Linked DNA regions of Elephas maximus indicus. Each later gene encodes a partner of the first gene's protein in a complex. Links are inferred from orthologs where the notes say so. Each region holds a gene or a part of one and is shown in the gene's direction. Other genes may lie near its edges. The genes, in order: SIRT5 and PRDX1.

Region 1 (10,015 bases):
AAATGCAGATAATCAAAGCCCCCACCCCACAGAGAGATTATGAGGATTAAAGGTGATGATAATACATGGAAAATATTCAGAGCAGTGCCTGGCACTTAGAGCTCAGTAAAATATTAGCTGTTCCTGTTATGCCATCATTGGCCCCTCACCCAGCCTCAGGCATATAAAAGAAAAAACATTCTTTGGACATAGTTGTCAAAGTGCAGGGGTGTTTCCTACCCCCTCATGGGGGTGGAAAAGGGAGCTCTTCCCCTCCCCCTCAAGTCAGGTGAGGAGGACTTCCAGAAAACCACCCAGAGAGTGTGACTGGTGTCCTCTGGATCCAGAGAGACTCAGAGACTGGTATCCAGTGTGTGCTTGAAAAAGTCCAAATGTGAGAGGATGTGGCTAGATGCCTGAAGGGGCAGAGCACAGAGTCAGGGCTGTGTTGGGAATGCTTTTGTGGTGCAGTGAGTTACTTAATATGGCCCTTCTAGCCATAGTCTTTGTGATTCCCACAAAATGGTTGGGTGGGACTATGCAAATAAGGTTCTTGTGGCCCACCAAGGGGATTGGACAGCTTGCTAACAATGCAAATAAGGTGTGTGGAAAACTTGTGGAGGTGGAACCATGTAAATAAAGTATATGGAACCCTAACAAGGCGATTGGTCAGTTTTGCCACCCATGAGGCTTAAAAAGAGAGCCAATCCCAGAGCAGAGAGGAGACTTTACTACCATGAAGAAGAGCCAGGAGCAGAGTGTGTCCTTTGGACCCAAGGTACCTATGCTGGGAATCTCCTAGACCCAGGAGACAGAGAGCTGTAACACTGGAGATAGGGCAAGATGGTGAGAAGTGGCAGCAAGCATGGGAGAGAAACAGCACCAGCAGAACCAGGAGACTGGTACAAGATGGCACAGTGTGTTCCCCAGCCTCCAGAGGGAGGTGGTTACAGTGGGTGTGTTGATCCATGAAGCAAGAATGCTGAGAGCCTCCAGAAAGAAGGTTTGGAAGCAGAGCAGGGTGCCTCTGGGGACTTGTTGGTGGATCTAGCAGCACTGACCCATAGAAAGAGAGAGCTGAGAGCACTTTTGGGCAGGAGGCTGTTTGCAGAGCTAAAGAGCTTCGTAACACTTTCCTGAGCAGGGCAGGGGCCAAGCCTGAGTGGGGGCTGAGGGCTGAGAGAGGAGTCTGTCCTCAGCCTAGGAAACCCTGTGGGTAGTTCTACTCTGTCATATAGAGCCCCTCAAGGGGCCAAAAAGAGATTGCCCTCAGGGGGCCAAAAAGAGCCCTGCACAGCTGGGAGGAGCTGAGAGAGCTGTCCTGCACCAGAGAATGGAGACTTTGCATGTTTTCTGATCCTGATCCTGATCCTGAGTTGTACCTGTTACTTCCCTAATAAACCCCATAATTGTGAGTATTGTCTGTGAGTTCTGTGTGGCCATTGCAACAAATCACTGAATCCAGCAGAGAAGTAGAGAGTGCCGTGGGAGGGATGGCTAGTGTCTGAACTGGTAAAAAGTTTGGAGAAAGGAGGTATATCTGACCTCCACCTCATAGGAACCAGCCTTGGGCTGATGCTGATTCCCCTACCCCCTGAAGTTAAAGGCTCTCTGATGCCACCACACCACCATTTTTATAGCCATTTTACATTTCCAGAGTTTGGCAGAGAAAGGATTCATGCGTGTTTTCCATTGGCCTGATGTGGCTCTGTGGAAGTGGAGTTGGCTACTAGTTTTCTTGGATAGGATCCTGTCCCAGGGGTTTCCTGTCAGGATAGAGGTGCCCTCAGCTGGAAAAGGTGCAAACATATCAAGACTAAGAAGCTGAGGAGGCTCTGACTATGTTAAGGGAGGTACGGATTAAAAGAACCTGTCAAAACTACACAGGTCTCCAACATGAGAAAGAACCAGCATTTGGAACCTGTTGGGACTTTGATCCTTATCTCTGAGGGATCACGGAGGCCAAGGAGCAGGGCAGAAGGGACTCAGAGGAGAGATGTCCTCAAGTATGGACCTGCCCATGTAACTCTATGTGCCCCCAACTGTGGACAGTCTTCCACTCAATGGTAAACACTAGTAAGTGTAGAGAACTTGGACACCTTGTCAGGGATGGATGGGGGCATGAAGGGAGAACTGTATCTGCTGATCAAAATGAAAATGAAAAAATTCACTTGGAAAATTCTCTCTGAGTGTGGCAGTGAGAGACACATTGCTGCTCTTCTGTTTCTTCCACATCTTCAAAAAATAAGAGATACTGCAGCCACCAAAACAAGCAACAACAAACAAGATGCTATAAACATGAAAAAGAACAGAGCTCTTGGACATTAAAATTATGGACACTGTCCCCTTCCCCCACATACCCACCTCTCACCACCCAACCGTTGAAAGACAGTGTGACGTTCCACTGAGCGATACAGACTTTTCCTCACAGAAGAGCATGCAAACACCTGTGCCTCCCATTTTCCTGTCACTATTCACAGTTCAGTTATTCATGACAATTTTATTTCTTAAGTTTGTGCTATGTGCATTTGTTGCTGGGGGTAGTAGGGTTGGAAGAACCTCCTGGCTATATGTTATTTTCAGATGCACTGACCAGCTGACAAGTTACATTAGAGCCTCAACCTTTGGGTGACGTGTGTGGGGGTCCACCTTAGGGCAGGGTCATTCTTGGTGTTGATCATCCCTTGAGCCTCACTCTAGAACCCAGAGAAACTAAGGGGGTGTGCAGAGAGGTCCTGACTTCTTGCCTTTCTCTGTGAAGGGCTCCGGATGCACAGGGGTGGGAGTGGGGGTGTGATGATGAGCATTACCTTGGCATCTTCACGAGGAAACAGGCTGGAGCTGGGAAATACAGAATCTCGGGGGGCTACAATTTGGCACAATTTCTAGATTGTGTTTATATATCTCTTGTAGTTTTGTAATCTTGATGTTTATCTTCTTCCTGCTCTCCCTTAGTATTGAGTAAAACCCCTAGAAAATTCCAACCTTTTCCCGGTGTGTCCAAATAAATCAATAGATAAAGGACACCAACCCTAAGTGTTTATGTTCCATGGGTGTATCTGCATCAGAGGCTTAAAAAGGACCCAGTCCACCTCCTGAGAATCAGTAACAGAGTAACCCCAAGAGGATGTAAAATTCAGGGTGGGGAAATCTGCTTTCCAGAGGGAAAGCTTGGCAGTCTGAATTTCATGAAGGAGGTAATACTACCTTCCAATGTATGTACCTCAAGTTCTTATGCCACCTACCTGGTTACCCCAGGAAAATGTCTGTAGATATAATGAATTATCAATAAGTCATTTTTTCCATGTGCTGCTCTGGACTCACAAGCAAAAAAAGAAAAGGTAATTTCCTTTTCTTAAATTTCAGTAAAGACTGCCAAGCCATTAACCTTATTTCCTGTGAGGCTGTTCATTCATTCATTTAATACATGTTTACTAATTGAGTATCTACTATCAGGGACTGTGAGGTGTTGAGAATACCAGGGTGAGTTTAAAGGAGACAAGGGGGGTCACCTTCAGGGAGCACACAGCCTAGCAGGGGAAGGATACTGTAATCAAATACACAGAGAAAGTGAAATTTGGAAGGGGATAACTGCTATGGTGCTGTACCACCCTACGTCAAAGGTGAGGGATCTCACTCACTGGAGTGGGAGATCGTCTGACAAGGTTTCCTTGAGGAAGTGACAGTAGAGCTGAGACTAGAAGGATGAGAGGAGTTACTATGGAGGGAGTGGGAAAAGAACATTCCAGAAAAAGGGAAAAGCCTTTGTTTTGGAAGAGCAAAGCCATTGAGAAAGTAAGCTGGGGTTCCTTGAAAGATGGAAAGGATAGTGGCTGATGGTTCTAGAAGTGGCCTGACATGCTGGGGAAAGCCAGCTCTTCCAAGTCTGGGAGAAAGAATGGGGGTGAGGGGTGGTGTGGTAGGTAGCTGTGGTGATGGGCTCCTGGACCTTAATGTAATGCAATGTCCCAAAGGTGGCAGAACATTCCAGGAGAGGCGGAGGGCTACATATTGGGTCCGTGGACTGTGTTGTTGTGTGCCATCAATTTGATTCCAATTCATAGTTACCCTATAGGACAAAGCAGAACTGTCCCATAGGGTTTTCAAGGTTGTATCTTTTGACTGCCACATCTTTTTCTCCCAGAGTGGCTGGTGGGTTCAAATTACTGACCTTTCAGTTAGCAGCCGAGTGCTTAATCACTGTACCACCAAGGCTCCTTTTGTGGACTATAGGTTACAATAAAGGGCGTTGGGCCTCCCCTCCTTCCTCCAGTGTCCAACTGAAGTAAAGGATCAACGCTTACTTGACGGCCAGTATCATAAGAACAAAAAGTAATGGAAAAACACTTTGAGTGGTGGTATACCTGGTGGTTCACATCCTAGACTCCGGAACCAAAGCACTTAGGTTCAAATCCCAGCTCTACTAAAAGGCTTTGTGTCTTGGGCAGTTACTTGACCTCCTGGTGTCTCAGTTTCCCCACTTGTAAAGCCAGAAATAATAGTACCTATTTCATCAGATAACAATTTACGGGAGCTAAAGGAGCCCCACAGTGGTCTTAATTCCCATTCAAGCTGTGTGGGTCATGGTTGAGGTCCGAATTAAGGGGATAAAAGTTAACGCAATTTTTTGTTAACCAAGTTTCCGGACCACTTCCTCTTCTAGTTCATTTGGTGTGCCCATAAGTAATTTCATTCTAGGAAAAGTCGTGCTGGTGGTAAGCCTGCTTCAAAGAAAAGGAAAGGGGACCATTTAAAAGGGAACTCAGCCACTTGGAGCCACATAAGCCACCAAGTCCCAGAGCCCCCAAACTGTGCCCTTCTGACACCTGGGTAAGGATTGCAAACACCAGCAGTCTGCAATGCACCTGCACAGGCGAGCAGGTAGCATTCTTCACTGGGTTAGAGGGGTTTGGTGGGCTAGACAGGGAAACCAACTAACCACGACTGGAAATAACATTTCTGAGAACATAACCCAACATCTGAACTGCTCTGTCCTGAAGCTGTGTACAGTGCACCAGCTGTTTGCTCAAGAAGTGCAATGGTTAAGGTTTTGTGTCAACTTGGCTGGGCCATGATGCTCAGTGGTTTGGCAGTTATGATGCAGTTTGGCAGCTAGGTAATGATGTAATCTCCATAATGAGATTTGATATAATGTAATCACCTCCGTGATGAGACTTGTTATGAGCAATTAGTTCAAAGAGAGTTTCCTTGGATTTGGCCTGCAACCAATATAGGTGGACTTTCTGGCTAAAGCTCTCTGGCTTTTGCTTGCTCTAGATCCTGCAGCTAGCTCCTGTCCATCTGACCTCTGGTTCTTGGGACTTGAGCTAGCAGCTTACCTGCCCATTTGGGGTTTGTCTGCCTCAGCAGCCTGTGAGCCAGAGGCCTGCTGCCCCACCCGCCAATCTTGGATTCTCCAGACCCTGCAACTACTTGAGTCAGGAGACGCCTCCAACCAGACCCATAAATTTGGGACTTTCCATCCTCTACAACTGTGTGAGACATTTCCTTGACCTAAATCTCTCTGTATATGTATTTATAGGCCTCACTGGTTTTCCTTCTCTTTTAGAGAACCTGGCCTAAGATAAGGAAGAAGCAAAGCAGATAGTAGTTCACGACATATCTGGGCAACAGAGTGAAACCTGGAAGCTCACAAAGATGAAGCAAAAACTGTCTTTCCACTCCCGCGAGCCCAAATGAAAGAAAAAACAAAAACAAAAAACCGTGCAATAAAAAGAACCGTGGTAATGGGTCCCATTGCTCCGGAGTCCCTCAGCTCCGGGTCTCCGGTAGAGGTCGCTGTCGCCCAGCAGGCGGGTGGCACTGCTCCGCCCCGCGCCCTCTTAGTCCAGCCCCCGCACCCCGGCCCGCCGCCGGCGTCTCCGCCTCCCGTGGTGCAGGTGCGTCTCCGCCCGGGCTGGACTGGGGTCTCCGCGGCCTCGCCTGTTCCCCCCGGAGTCCCCGCCGAGCTCGGCCTCCGGCCGGGCTGTGTCTGTACCGCTCGGTCCCGGGCGAGCCGCGGGCCCTTGGGGTCGGAGGCGGTGCCGGCCGCAGCGCGCATGCCCGGCCCGGCCCATTCCCCGCGGCCTTTAGTGCAGGGCCGTGGGGGGCGCTGGTCTAGGGGGCAGGGGTGGGACAGGCTCTGGAGGGGGGGAGGTGGGCGATCCCGGAGGGCGGGGGCGTGGGGGGAGGGGAAGTGGACGGTCCCCGAGGCGGGGTCAACCCCTGGTGACCGCGGGTCCCGAAGAGCCATCGGAAGCGCAGGCCCCTTGGGGAGGAAGCCTAGACGGCGCTGAGGGCGGGCGCTGGACGCCCCCGGAGGCAGTAGCGGCCGGAGAGGCGAGGGAAGGGGCAGGAAACGAGGTTGGAGACTAACGGGGCCCTAGTAGGTGGGCTTGGTGGCCTCTGTGAAGGGGGAGCCCCAGGAGGGCTCTGAGCAGAGGTTCACCTTTGAGAAGAGCCACTCCTGGCAGGGTCAGTCCTGGCAGGTGATGGTGGCTTGGGCTAGGCGGGGGCAGCGCACGTGGGAGAAGGGGTCGGATACAGGACCTAGAGTGGAGGTGGAGCTGCCAGGGTTTGCTCAAGAGCCTGGCCCGGGGTGAGAGAAAGGGGAGGAGTCAGGGTCAAGGCCTTTGGCCAGAACAGCGCGGGGAGGGAGGGAGGTGCCCAAACCTAGAAGACCAAATGAGGGCGGCTTTGCGAAGAGGAGGCTTGGGGGAAGTTGGAGACCCCGGGCATGGTGGACATTGGAAGGGAGGCGTAGAGAAGGCACTGGGCCTAGCAGTCTAGAGCTTTGGGGGGGATGACCCATTGCCCGTTGCCCTGAAGTTGATTCGGACACACAGCGAGCCTATTGGACAGAGTGGAATTGCCCCGTAGGGTTTCCAGGGAGCAGCTGGTGGATTTGAACTGCGAACCTTTTGGTTAGCAGCCTGAGCTTTTAACATCTGAGTCACCAGGGCTCCCTGGGAGGATGGCAGTGGTATAAACGTGGCAGATCCACTGGCTGGTGATCTCGCAGGGGAGGCACCCTACTGGAAAACTTGGGGGGAGGGGCGGTTAGAGAGCTATCAGGTGAGCATCAGTGGAGTGTGGTGGGAGACCAAGGGAAAGGAGGGCTTTTCGGAGACTCGATGGAGTGGTTGAAAGGTTGGGCATGACCAAGGTGGAGAACAGAGACTCCACTGGATTTAGTAATACGGAGGTGGCTGGTGACCTTGACAAATGTAGGTGGTAGAGTAAGGAGAGGGAATAGAGTACACCTGTGTAGACAACTGGGGACTAGTGCCCCACACTGTATTTAGCTTATAGATATTCAAAGGGTATTTACTGGACACCTGTGAATTAAGCAGAGCCCTGGTGGCACAGTGGTTAAGAGCTCCGCTACTAGCCAAAAGGTTGGCAGTTCTAATCCACCAGCTGTTCTTTGGAAACCCTATAAGGCAGTTCTACTCTGTCCTATAGCACATGAGTCGTAATAGACTGGACAGCAAATGGGTTTGGTTTTTGGGTTTCGTGAATTTTGCAAGTTTTTGTAGTTCCTCTGTGTTATGTATAACCCACCAGCTGTTCCGTGGAAACCCTGCCCTATGAGGTTGCTATGAGTCGGAATTGACTCAGTGGCATTGGGTTTGATTTGGTTTTTTTGTTTTGCATTATAATACCATGTATTTAAAATTAATGTTTTCTGTAAAATTTTTTCTCCCAAATTCCTGATAGAACTTCTCATTTATATATTTTTTGGAATGGATAGCATACCCCTTTTTTTCTCACAGGCAACGTACAGGCATTTTTCTTTACTTTTTTTTTTAAATTCATGAGGTGAACTTCAGGTTTCACAAGAAAGTCTCCTTACAGAAGAGACTGCCCTTACAAGGACTAATGTCATTGTAGGGAATCTGCCCAGCCCCCGGAAAGCTCCCAGTGACTGGTGATTTAAGTTTATTTCCTCCCCTGAAGATTCTCTTCTCACCCCAAGATAAAACCAAGGCAGAGTAATTGGTGGTTTCATCACCCAGGGCAGCCTTCAGTGACTGTCCCCCGGTCCCTTGCACTCCAGGACTGAGTTCTCAGGCCTCAGACTCTCACAGTGGCACTGCCCTGCGCTTGTTTTCAGGCTCCAACAGAATTGTAAGCTTCTGGAAGTTAGAACCACTGCCCACTCCCTAGAAAAACAGGTAAGTGTTGGCACAGAGGATACTTCCAATAAAGATTTTTGTGGTGGTTGTGGCTGTTAGTTGCAGCTCAGACTCATGGTGACCTTACGTAGAACTGAATGTTCCTGATCCTGTGCCACCTTCAAGATTGTTGGTGGGTTTGAGTCCATTGTTGGGGCTATTGTGTTCCCCTCATTGAGGGCTCCCCTCATTTCCATTGGCCCTCTAGTCTTAATGTTCTGAGCATTTCCATAATTGGAAATAAATTTGAGGTGGTATTCAAAAATGTTAAAAACTTTGCTTTTATCTTTACTTTGTTTTCACATTTGGAGAGACTCCTGCAGAACATCTTGTAAATTACTTGAAAATTTTGCAAATTCTGATAATTCCATTTCCTTAAAAAGAAAATCATGTGAAATGTCCACTGATAAGCAATAGAGTGGTTTTTGTCACCAGTGAGACCAAAATTGCCTCACTGATCCATTACTTCAGATAGACATGAAAGACTTTATCTAATCTATTGTTCCACTAATCTGTGACTTAGTGTGGATAAAAGAAGGAACCCTGGTGGCACAGTGGTTAAGTGTTCCACTGATAACTGAAAGGTTGGCGTTTTGAACCCACCAGCCATAAGGATTACAGCCTTGGAAACCCAATGGGGAAGTTCTACCCTGTCCTTTGGAGCTGCTGTGAGTTGGAATTCACTCTATGGCAGTGGGTTTGGGTGGATAAAAAGTTTGAAATAAAAATTAGTATTTTAATTGCATACAATTGAATACAATACACAAATATGTATGTATGTATAATATATGATTAAACCAAAACCCATCGCTGTTGCGTCGATTCCAAATGCCCCATAGGGTTTCCAAGGAGCACCTGGTGGATTTGAACTGTTGACCTTTTGGTTAGCTGCGGTAGCTCTTAACCACTCTACCACCACAGTTTCCTGTGTGTGATTAGACATTATAATTCACATGATAAGATGAGAACCAAAACTGTCTTCCCCCCAAGTTCTTGCTGATTGCATTTCCTAGGCAAAGAATTTAGAAGCTAGTGATTTTTGGAGATGTTGAAACATGAATAAGTAAAACTTCTTTTCTGCTTTATTATTTTGGGTTTAGTATTATTACTATTATTCAATAATTAAAACATTTGAATAGAAAAACTTAGACAATGAAAAATTAGTAACATTTTACCGAAATAATACAAGTTCTAATTTTAAAATTCTTTAGAATTATCATATTTGCCACGAATACCTTTATAATCAGCAACAGGTCCAGCACTCAAGTTTAGAGTAGAATGAAGATTTGCCTTCATTACACGGCCGTCCAGCAGAAGATACTTGACATTGGTACCTCTGTTGATTGCATTTTAAATTCTTACTGTCCTATGAAAGCCTACCTTCACGTCTGACAAAGAAATATGACCGTTCATTCAGAAGTTAACTATAATTCTTTTACAGTAGGTAGAAATGTTTCCCAACATTTAAAACCCACAGAAGAAGAAAAGGATTTTCTGGATCAAATTGGAAGTCTAGATCAAATTTTTGCCCCCAATTTGGGAGAAATAACTAAAGATATTAAGCTCAAAACAATAGTACAACTAACTTCACACAACACATAGAAAGTTTTTAGTAGGTTAGGCAGTATCGGGAGCTTTAATTTTCACAAAATTTCATTGAGATGTACAAGTTTTAAAAATACTGCCATGACGATATTTTTAAGCCTCAAATGGACGTGAGAAGACCCCCTTGATAAATGTAAAAGCTGGGTAATGGAAACGGTAATGTTCTGCTTTTTCTATACATTTAAATTTTTCTGTAATTAAAAAAAACTATAATAATGCCTCATTTGTCCCTCACTAAAGTATTCCATAAGTGA
Region 2 (10,135 bases), on another chromosome or scaffold:
TTGCACCCTTTCACCATACCTATTCAATATTTATGCTGAGCAAATAATCCGAGAAGCTGGACTCTATGAAGAAGAAGTGGGCATCAGGATTGGATGAAGACTCATTAACAACCTGCGTTATCCAGATGACACAACCCTGCTTCCTGAAATTGAAGAGGACTTGAAGCACTTACTGACGAAGATCAAAGACCTTCAGCGTGGATTACACCTCAACATAAAGAAAACAAAAGTATTTATAACTGGACCAATAAGCAACATCATGATAAATGGAGAAAAGATTGAAGTTGTCAAGGATTTCATTTTACTTGAATCCACAATCAACACTCATGGAAGCAACAGTCAGGAAATCAAGAGACGTATAGCATTGGGCAAATCTTCTGCAAAAGACCTCTTTAAAGTGTTGAAAAGCAAAGATGTCACCTTAAAGACTCAGGTGTGCCTGATGCAAGCCATGGTGTTTTCAATTGCTTCCTATGCATGTGAAAGCTGGATGATGAAGAAGGAAGACCGAAGAATTGATGGCTTTAAATTGTGGTGTTGGAGAAGAATATTGAACTGCCAAAAGAATGAACAAATCTGTCTTGGAAGAAGTACAGCCAGAATGCTCCTTAGAAACAAGAATGGCAAGACTATGTCTCACATACTTAGGACATACTGTCAGGAGGTGTCAGCCCCTGGAGAAATACATCATACTTGGTAAAGTAGAGGGTCCGCAAAAAAGTGGAAGACCCTTAATGAGGTGGACTGACACAGTGGCTGCAACAATGGGCTTAAGCATAATAATGATTGTGAGGATGGTGTACAACTGGGCAGTGTTTCGTTCTGTTGTGCAGAGGGTTGCTATGAGTCAGAACTGACTTGATAGCACCTAACAACAACAACAACAATGTTAAATAGCATATAAAACAAAGAACTAGATTTCTTGCTATTAAAATAACAAAATTTTCTTTGATTTCTGAGTTAAAGAGTTAATTTATTTGTGTAATCTGCCTTGAAGACAAAGGTTTGGCCTCTCGTTAGAGTAAGATTCCTGAGTCAAAAACCAAGCTGCGTGGCTTTAGAAAAAAAAAAAGCTAAGGTTTTTACGTTTCAGATCTTTGGCCTAATAACTTAAGTTTTGTTTCTCAGTGACCTTTAATAAGCTCCTGACAACCTTGAAACTTCTTGGAAAGCCACGAATTTTTTTTTTTAATAAAGGAAAAGTGCTAAAAAGATTATTTCAATATGTTATAAATTTCATGGAATGTGTTGTCAGAATCAAGAGAAGCGCCTGATTCTCTTTGGGTTAAAATTTATATGTTAGTGTTTTCTCTTATGTTTTTGCCTAATAGTGAAAATATTAGACAATAAATGAATAAGATTGTGTCATAATTTTATTATTATTTCTTACTTGCTAACTGGGTTACAACTTTATTAAATCAGTGGTTCGATTGGGGAATTCACATCATTTACCTATGAATTTTTTTTTTTATTACTATTCAGGTATTTAGAGACTTGACAATCTTGGTATATCCTGACTATATGGTATTATGTCTTAAGATTATTATGTATTATATCTGAAGCTCTTTGGAAATAAGGTTAACCATTATTTTTAGTATTATTTTTTATCTAACGTGTTTTAACTGATTTTATTTGGCCTTTACATTATGCTTGTAATTAATTTCTATCAAGTGTTTCACAATTAAGAGTGTTATTTATATAAGTTAATTATGGCCATATTCAGTTTTGTCATCTGCAGATAAGTGTTTACTTTGCTGATTTGCTGAAAACATTTGACCAAATTTCTCAACAAAAAGATGGACTGTATTGGACTTGTGAAAAGGACTGTGACTAGACTGAATAAAATTTCCAGAACTCTTATGCAGAGGCTGATGGGCTTACAGACCAGCTGAAACAGAAATTAACTACATAAGATTGAGTAAAGGATACTATGGGTTTTATGTGGGAATGTTGTTGATGCTTTAAGGTTCTACTTTCTAGATATAAGAAATTGTTTTCTTTCTCCTAAATTATCTAACTAATGGGTTTGGATATTTTAACTGTTGAATTAGAAGTTCCTGTTGGTAAACTTAGCAAAGTTGTAAATATAAATTTCTGAAGTTGGAGCTATAATTTTATAAAATAGAACAGCATTTCCTATTAGTCTCTCAAGGAACAGTTTTGTGCCTTAACGGATAAATGTTGCTATATTTATTTAAATACACAACCTGAGGTTTTGCAGAATGTAGTTGCTACTGAGACAACATGAAAAGCAGTTACTGATGCGGCTTATGCATAAATAAACCCCTCATGAAATTTGTTTTCTTGGTTCAAAGACCTTAGGGTCATGGTTTCATTAGTTATTTCAGACAGTTGGCCTCATACTATTGTTAGTGTTTCTATTCTACTTCCTAGTTCGCTGTATGGTGCCTGGGATCTTAAAAACCAGATGGTGCCCAATTACTGTTTATTGAGCATTTTTGATCAAAGATTCTATAGCAAGATCATGATCCAAAGGAGGGAACCATGAAAGAGTTATAATTCTTCTGGAATCCAGATTTCTGGCTTTCATGGAGGTTAGAGTAACCCATAATAGGAAATGCTGTTCTATTTCATATTTTAAAATTATAGCTCCAACTTCAGACATTTATATTTACAACTTTGCTATTGCCTTTGGGTGTCATTTTGAACCTTGAGCTTTGAGGAAAAAAAGGGTTCCTTGAAGAATTCAGTCTTTTGGGGAAACTGACTCCAAAGATTAGACTGAGAGTTACGTTTAGGGTAAATCAGTAATCCGTTTAATTAGTCTTCAAGACAGTCTAACGTTTATAATCAAACTCTCACCCTCTTACTATGTAGAAATTTATGTATCTTAAAGAAACCAGGTTCTCAGAGGAGGTCGACCTCATGGTTCAGACTCCATATTGTCTTAGGCTCCACTTTTGCTTCTGAGAAAGTGACTCATGACTGTTAATAGATAAACCAAAGAGGGGCAGCCTGCACTCAGGAAGAACACTTATTATGTTTTAAAGAGATTAACTGACGATCTCCAACAGGTGAGGTCCATCCTCTATTATCTTGCTAATCGTGAATTTTCTAATTCTCTGTTTGTCACATGTAAATTTTTCTATATTTTCTGTTTTCTCCAGACAAACTTTGTGTCTCCTTGTGGATATATGTTTTTATGTGGTAGAGCCAACTATACTAGTTTAGATGACTCCTTTCCAATTGATAGTGAATTTACGTGGGCAATCTCTTGTTTAGATCTCTGGTGAATGCATGGGCAATGCACTTTGGGAATGTTAGGATTACCTTTAGATATTCATAGTAATGATGCCAGTAAATATTGGAAAGGTAATGTTAAACTGTTATACATTGTAAAATGAAAGTCAGATGAAAACTCATTGGTTTAGCGCTCAGGGTATTGTTGGTAGCTTTAATTCCTACTTATGGTATAGTTGAATTGGAGAAATCTTTAAGAAATTTATCAATCACTATGCAACTAATAGATGAAGTTGCTAATGGGGTGGAAACACAACAGCAATCTCTGACCTCATAAGCCAAGGTGACATGAGATAATGGAATAGCCTTAGATTTTTTTATTGGTCCAAGAAAGTGTAATCTGTGCTGTAGCAAATACCTCTTGTTTCATTTGGATAAATAACACAGGAGAAGTAGAACAGGATATACATAGAATTAGACAGGCTACTTGGTTACACACTGTAATACCCTTACAAATACCAGATTTATTTAGTTGGTTACCATCAGGAATAAGTACATGGGCTAGATCACTATTGCAAGGGATAGTAATATTTTTAGTCTGTATCCTGATAGTATTATGCATAATAAAATTTATCTTCTATTGTCTTACACACCTAAAAGCCAAAAGGAGGCCTCGAGCTAAAATGTTGATGTACATTTAGTCTGCTTACTTCAGCAACGCAATTAATGAGAACGTTGCTCTTACTTAAGATTCTGGTGAAGAACCAGATGGTATCTGGTGGAAAACCAGCACTGTGAGTTTAAAGAGCCTACCATGGCCGCCATCTAGGAGCTCCACTAAGTCCAGGTATTGATCATCGATGTCTTATCTCCAACTTCCAATCAAAAGGAGGGAATGATTTAGTAGATGATATTGGAGCCATTATTCCTTGTCCTGGAATGTGACTCAGCTGGAGCTGGACTCACAAGGACTGTTGTAGGGGAAAAAACATCACAAAGTTTAGTAACCCAAAAAGAAAGCTTTATTTGGCATATATTCAAAAAGACAAAAGTGGGAAGCAGACAAGCATGCTGCCAGAGCTAATAATGTCTGCCCCAAGCTGGAGGAAGGCTACATTAGTAACATTACAAAAATGGGTAGAATCGTTGAAAGCTTCACCTTTTCACAGATTGGCTAGAAACTGTGGTATTACATTTTGAATTGCTTTTCTTAATAATCATTGGTATAGGTTTCAGTAACTGACAGTCAGAAGGGTCTTCATTGGTCCAACAAATATCTACTCACTAAATGTTAATAGAAAAAGGTAAGAGTGCAAAGTCTTTTGTGTTTTGTTTGATTGGCTTTATGTAAAAAGTTCCCTAAAAGATATTTTTCTTCCCTAAAAGATAATTTCTAAGATTGCTCTATCTATTGTCTTTATCTCTGGGCCCAGCGCATGTGTCCTTGTGACTCTTTGTGGGCCCAGCTTCAGCTGGGTAACATTCTCTATGCTCAAGGACAGGGAATAATAATCCCAATATTATTTTCTAAATTAAGACCCACAAAGACTCACAAGGACACATAAACTGGGCCCTGAGGCATAAAGACAATGGCTAGGACAATCTTGGAACACATCTTTTAGGGAATCTTCCACATAAGCTAGTAAAACAGCACAGAAGACCCATATGGTTTCCATTGTTACCTTTTTCTACTAGCATTTAGTGAATAGTAAGATTTGTTAGGCCAATGATGACCCTCCTATCATTACTGAAGCCTAGACCAATGATTGTTAAGAAAGACACTTCAAAATATAGGATCACGGTTTCTAGCCCATTTGTGAAAAGGTAAAACTTTTAATGGTTTTGCCTATTTGTAATGTTAATATATACTGATGATTCTGCATTGTTCTTTGGACAGACATGGCTCTAGCAGCAGGCATGTCTATTTTCCCACTTTATTCTGTAATATTTGCTTGGAGTTTGGGCAGACAAGGCCCTAACAGTATGCTTGTCCTTTTCCCACTTTTGCCTCTTTGCATATATGCCAAATAAAACTTTTCTTTTTGCTTTACTAAACTTTGTGATTTTTTTTTTTTCCCTACAACAAGCCATTCCCAGAGACTATCTTTTAGCCAGACCATAGACAGGCCCACAAAATAAAAACACTAGAGAGGAACATGCTCCTTAGAACAACCAATTGAACTAAATCAAAAGGGCAATATCTGCCCACAGGGATAGATGAGAAGGCAGGGAGGGGTAAAAAATCAGGACGAAAGGAAATGGGGAACCTAGGGAGGAAATGGGGAGAGTCCTGACACATCGTGGGGAATTAAACCAATGCTATTTTTTATGGAACATTTTATGCACAAACTATCAAATGGGAAACTAATTTGCTCTGTAAACTGTAACCCAATGCACAATTAAAAAAACAAAATCATAAGGCTTTTAATTCAGGGAATTGACTACAGAGCCCTGGTTTTTAAATCACAAATCCAAGGAGTGACATGATCACATTTCAATAAGATTCCCTTCAGCTATAGTGGAAGGAATGGATGGGAGATGGAAAACAGCTCAGCCAATAATCGGAATAATAAAGCGGCTTTATATTTTTATCCAAGGTACAGAAACCAGGGATACTAGTCATCTGGCAGACGCTGCGGTGACTGGGACGATTTGAGAAGTATTTAGATACTTCTCTCAGGGCTTGGTGTGTAGTTCCCAGGATGTCCTCCGTGAGCGACAGCGAGGACCCTTAATCTGGTTTGCGCTTTAAGGGCACAGCGCGCAAGGGGTCCTAGAAGTAAAGGAATCCCGGCCCCCATTGAGATCATAAATTAATTGAGGACTTTGGGCTTGAGGGCGGCCGAGAGTGCATCCCACTCTCCGACCTCAGCCGTTGGTGGCGGCAGTGATGACTGGGGGCGATTAGTACTATCTGCGACCACTCCCGCCCCTCAGCGAGGGGAAGTGCTGAGTCATTCTGGCGAGGCGCGATGGGACCCGACTGCGAGTGGGGCAGATTCCCCCTCCCTCTCCTCCTCCTGCACCCCCGGCCCACGCCGACTCTCGCGAGAGCCCAAGAAACTATAAAGGCAGCGCCCCACGCAAGCTCCGCAAATTCTTTTCCTGGCTGATCTTGGTGCCTTCTGTTTTGCAACTGGTGAGTCTCTAGGTAGCTTGGCCTCGCGAACCCCCCCACCTGTTGCTACTTTCTGCTCTCTTGCTTTTCTCCGGGGCTCACATAGTCTCTGTTGGAGGCGCCGTGACCGGCGAGGCGGCCCGCGGGGGCCTGGCGCCTGAAAGTGTTTGGGCGGTCCCCTCACCCCGCGTTGCGCATCTCCTTGTGCTTTCGGGGACTGGTTGAGCCCCGAGGCTTACACCCGCTCCAGTCTCTTTCCCTCGAGCAAAGTGTGCTGGTTGGCTTGGCGCGCGGCTGGGTGAGGCGGCGTGGGAGCTCCACGGCTAGCCTCCTGCGAGGCAGGGCGGGTTCGGGAAGCTTCTGGAGTGGACCTAGAACCAGAGCTGTGGCTGCAGAAGGTTACCCGTAATCGGTCTTTGTGTGGTAGAGGTGAAAGCGGCCCCGGTCTTCAGCTGTGATTTGCTGTGAGGTTTTCCCAAATTCCCTCGCTGAAGAATGCGCAATCTTTTCTGCTGGCGATTTCCGAACTACTAGGATGAGGGTGACGTTGGGAGCGGCAAGAAGGTACCTGAACTGGGCTTTGCAGGCGTGGCCCTCTCTAGGGGGTTTGGGAGCGTGTCTCCTGAGGGCGCCGCACCGACCGGAAGTCCAGCAGACTTTCCTCTTGGTTGGTCGGGCTTTTGTGGTGTTGGGGTCACCTGGAAAAACAGGTTTGGACGAGAAGCCTGTTTCTCTTAGGGCCACACCCCGTCGCCAAGTTGCAGCGTACCTTACGGTTTCTTTGTTAAAGGGTGTTAAAATAGTTTTTATTTTATACAGGCTGTGAAACCTTTGCGAAGATCGATTCTAGGCATGCGCACAACGTTTCCTTTGATTGTATTATGAACCGAGAACTTTGGGCATTACGGGAAAATTAGTTTCTTAGGGTTTTCAAACCGGTAACTTAATTGAGTTAAATCTTAACTCCTTATCTTGGTATTGATCTGGGCGAATCCAATGCATTAAACTGAACTCTTGATGGCACTGATTTTTCTTCCGGGATCTCGGCCCCGAGGCCAGACACCCATTTTGAAAAGACTTCTAGGGCTAAATCCAATACCTAAAGTTTTTAAATTGAGCAGATGCCAGAATCTTGGTCTGGATTGGCTTTAGGGCGTGTGCTTTCTTGGGCACATCCACCTGGAGAAAGTTCCAGTGCACTTTACATCTTATAGATGGAGGTGCAGTCGGCAGAAAGGCAACATGAGGGCTTGTGGGAGTCAGGCAATCAGCGTTGGTGGCTTTGTGCATTGTGTACTTGGGTTCTGGTTTGAGAGTCTCTACCTTATCCCTCCCTTCTCGGTGCTTCTGTATAATGAAAAGGCAGAAGAAAATGCCGGTTCATAATGTCTCAGAAAAGGTGACTTCGACTTACTAAAAAATTGTCCTTTTTAGATGAAAACAAAGACTGAGATTTCAGAGACTTTTGTAACATCTGGGTTTGGTCCAGAAATTAGAAAGCTCAGATTGTGGCCCTTCCATTGTGACTCTTGGCTGCTGGCTTGCATTACTAATGATAAAAATTTTGTGTTCAGGACCACTGGACCTGATTGTTCTTGGTTCTACCACTAAGTCCCTAAGTAGGTGAGAGCTACCTTGTATCTAAAAAGACAAGACTTGTTTTTAATTCATTTTCTTTTATCTTTTCCAGCTGATAACAAGATGTCTTCAGGAGCTGCTAAAATTGGGCACCCTGCCCCCAACTTCAAAGCTACAGCCGTTATGCCAGATGGTCAGTTCAAAGATATCAGCTTGTCTGACTACAAAGGTAAGAGTAATTACATGGGATTCATTATAATGGAATTATGATCCAGAGATAACTTGTTAAATTTTGGTATCTGTTACATTTGATTCTAAAATTCTTTGTATCTCCCAGGACAAGGCCTTTAGGGCAGGATTCTGTTACCTTTATGCTGAAGCAAAAGAGTGATGATCAGTGTTTACAGAATAGATATTGTAGGTTCAGACTTCTTCTGGAGAAGGCACATGCTTCATTATATGTAACCATATTAGGTCAATTTGATTTTCTCAGTACTTCTGAATTGTTTTCATTATCATCTCTTCTGTTAAGACGCCTGGCCAGGCCCAGTGGTTAAGAGCTTGCCTGCTAACCAAAAGGTTGGGAGTTCAAATCCACTAGCCCCTCCTGGAAACCCTGTGGAGCAGTTCTACTCTGTCCTGTAGGGTTGCTGGTGAGTCGGAATCAACTTGATGTCAACGGGTTTGCTTTTTTTGCTATATTCTCAAGTCTTTGGGCTATGATACAGCTTAGTGGTCATTTGTGAAATGTGTGTGTCACAGCCATTACGTTATTAGGCAGAGGGCTCAGGCCCATTCCCTTGACTGTTTTTGCCGCCCCCGCCCCCCCGCGCCAGAGAAGAGTTGATGTCACAGCTGAAACAACTCCCCTTAGTTACGTGCAGACACTTGGCAGTCTCTAATGAGGCCATTCCTTTCTTGCAGTCCCAGAGCACCTGGGTCTTCTGGGATAAAGATTTCTTAGAATGCAAACCTCGAACTCAAGTGTACTTCCCTTAGTGGTGTAGTAATTGGTTCTTGGAGTTGGCTTTTGGGTAGAACTTTTAACTAGGTTTCCTAACACGTCGCACTTGTTCGATGGTGATGAGAGCAAGTAAGTGGGGCCCTGTGGAGGGAAGCTTCTCCTGACAAAGTAAGTAACACCAGAGGTACGTGACCCTGGCCCAAGAGTATAGGCATTAGGTCTAGGAGGAGCAGCTCTCTGCCCTCCAGGGCTTGATCTGCTGAGGCTTCAAAGTGCTTGTTAGGTAAAGCCCTGGAGGAGTTATTTAGATGAGTCAGCTTCTAGTTACTTTCCTTTTCAAAGTAAATGTCAAAAAAAAAGGCTACCTGGGAATAAAGTAAATGTTTGGAGTTGTTCCATAGCTCAGCACGTTAGGTGTGGTAAGAGACTTCCTGGACAGTTTGAAGGTCTACTTCAACTGGTAATCTGAGTGACCAGTAAAATTCCAGTTAGAAGTTGTGTTAACCTACCGGGACTTTTGAAACTTTGTTTATAAGATTTTTATTTCTTGTCCTGTCAGGTTTGTTAGGAACGAGTTTGTGGCGATTGAGGTCCTTAAAGGTCCTTACCGGTCCCATCACTATGGTTCATTGTGAAAGACGTACAAAGGCTGACTTCCTTTTGTTGGTTTCTTGTCACCTGTCAGCAGAGAGCTCAGCAATTCAGCTCTGGGCACTCTTCTAAGCATTGGCAATATGCCACCCAGTTAAAAGTGATAATTGCGTTTTGCTTTCCTTCATTGGAGTAAGAACGTGGTGTTTATACTCTTGCCTTAACTAACCGTAGGAGTAGATAGAGGTTATAGGAGTTACAGTTGGCAGCTAATGAGGAGGCAGGAGAATAAAGCATGGAGCTAGAAAGAATTTTTTCTCATTCAGATGTATGAGTCTCCAGGCCCTCCTGCTGCAACAAGTTCTAAAATAGATGCTAGGAGACAGCTATGTTGAGTCGTCTTGCCCGGGCTTTGAATCTGTTCGTTCTGGTTCAAACCCCTATTGAGAATTGCATTTTTAACAAGTTCCAGGTGATGCTGATGTTGCTGGTTAGGGACCATGCCAGAACCACTAGTACATCAGTGGTTCTCAAAATCTATTACACGTAAGGATCATCTGTGGATATTGTGAAAGTGTAGGGCCTGATTCAGTATATCTGCGGTGGAAATGAAAATTCTCAGCAGGGGTTCAAACCAGAATGAACTGGTTTGAAGCCCTGGTCTTGTCATTTAACAATTGTGT

Evidence for each region.
Region 2: the proteins of SIRT5 (region 1) and PRDX1 are in contact, whole or in part, in a crystal structure (PDB 8Z54), measured with the Homo sapiens proteins. The link is inferred for Elephas maximus indicus from reciprocal best matches to the Homo sapiens genes SIRT5 and PRDX1. Residues at the interface, in NP_001363727.1 of Homo sapiens: Ala86, Tyr102, Arg105, Gln140, Ile142, His158, Val220, Val221, Trp222, Phe223, Gly224, Glu225, Asn226, Leu227, Leu232, Val253, Val254, Tyr255, Pro256; in NP_001189360.1 of Homo sapiens: Phe195, Ser196, Lys197, Gln198.

What each region holds. Positions count from the first base shown.
Region 1 is NC_064819.1:57,938,020-57,948,034, forward strand, and holds the start of SIRT5 (NAD-dependent protein deacylase sirtuin-5, mitochondrial), read left to right. Parts: upstream 1-5,796; 5' UTR 5,797-5,879; intron 5,880-6,175; exon of another isoform or gene 6,176-6,342; intron 6,343-6,354; exon of another isoform or gene 6,355-8,156; intron 8,157-10,015. UniProt on the Homo sapiens protein: NAD-dependent lysine demalonylase, desuccinylase and deglutarylase that specifically removes malonyl, succinyl and glutaryl groups on target proteins.
Region 2 is NC_064821.1:87,926,660-87,936,794, reverse strand, and holds the start of PRDX1 (peroxiredoxin-1), read left to right. Parts: upstream 1-6,239; 5' UTR 6,240-6,340; intron 6,341-8,009; 5' UTR 8,010-8,020; coding exon 8,021-8,126; intron 8,127-10,135. UniProt on the Homo sapiens protein: Thiol-specific peroxidase that catalyzes the reduction of hydrogen peroxide and organic hydroperoxides to water and alcohols, respectively.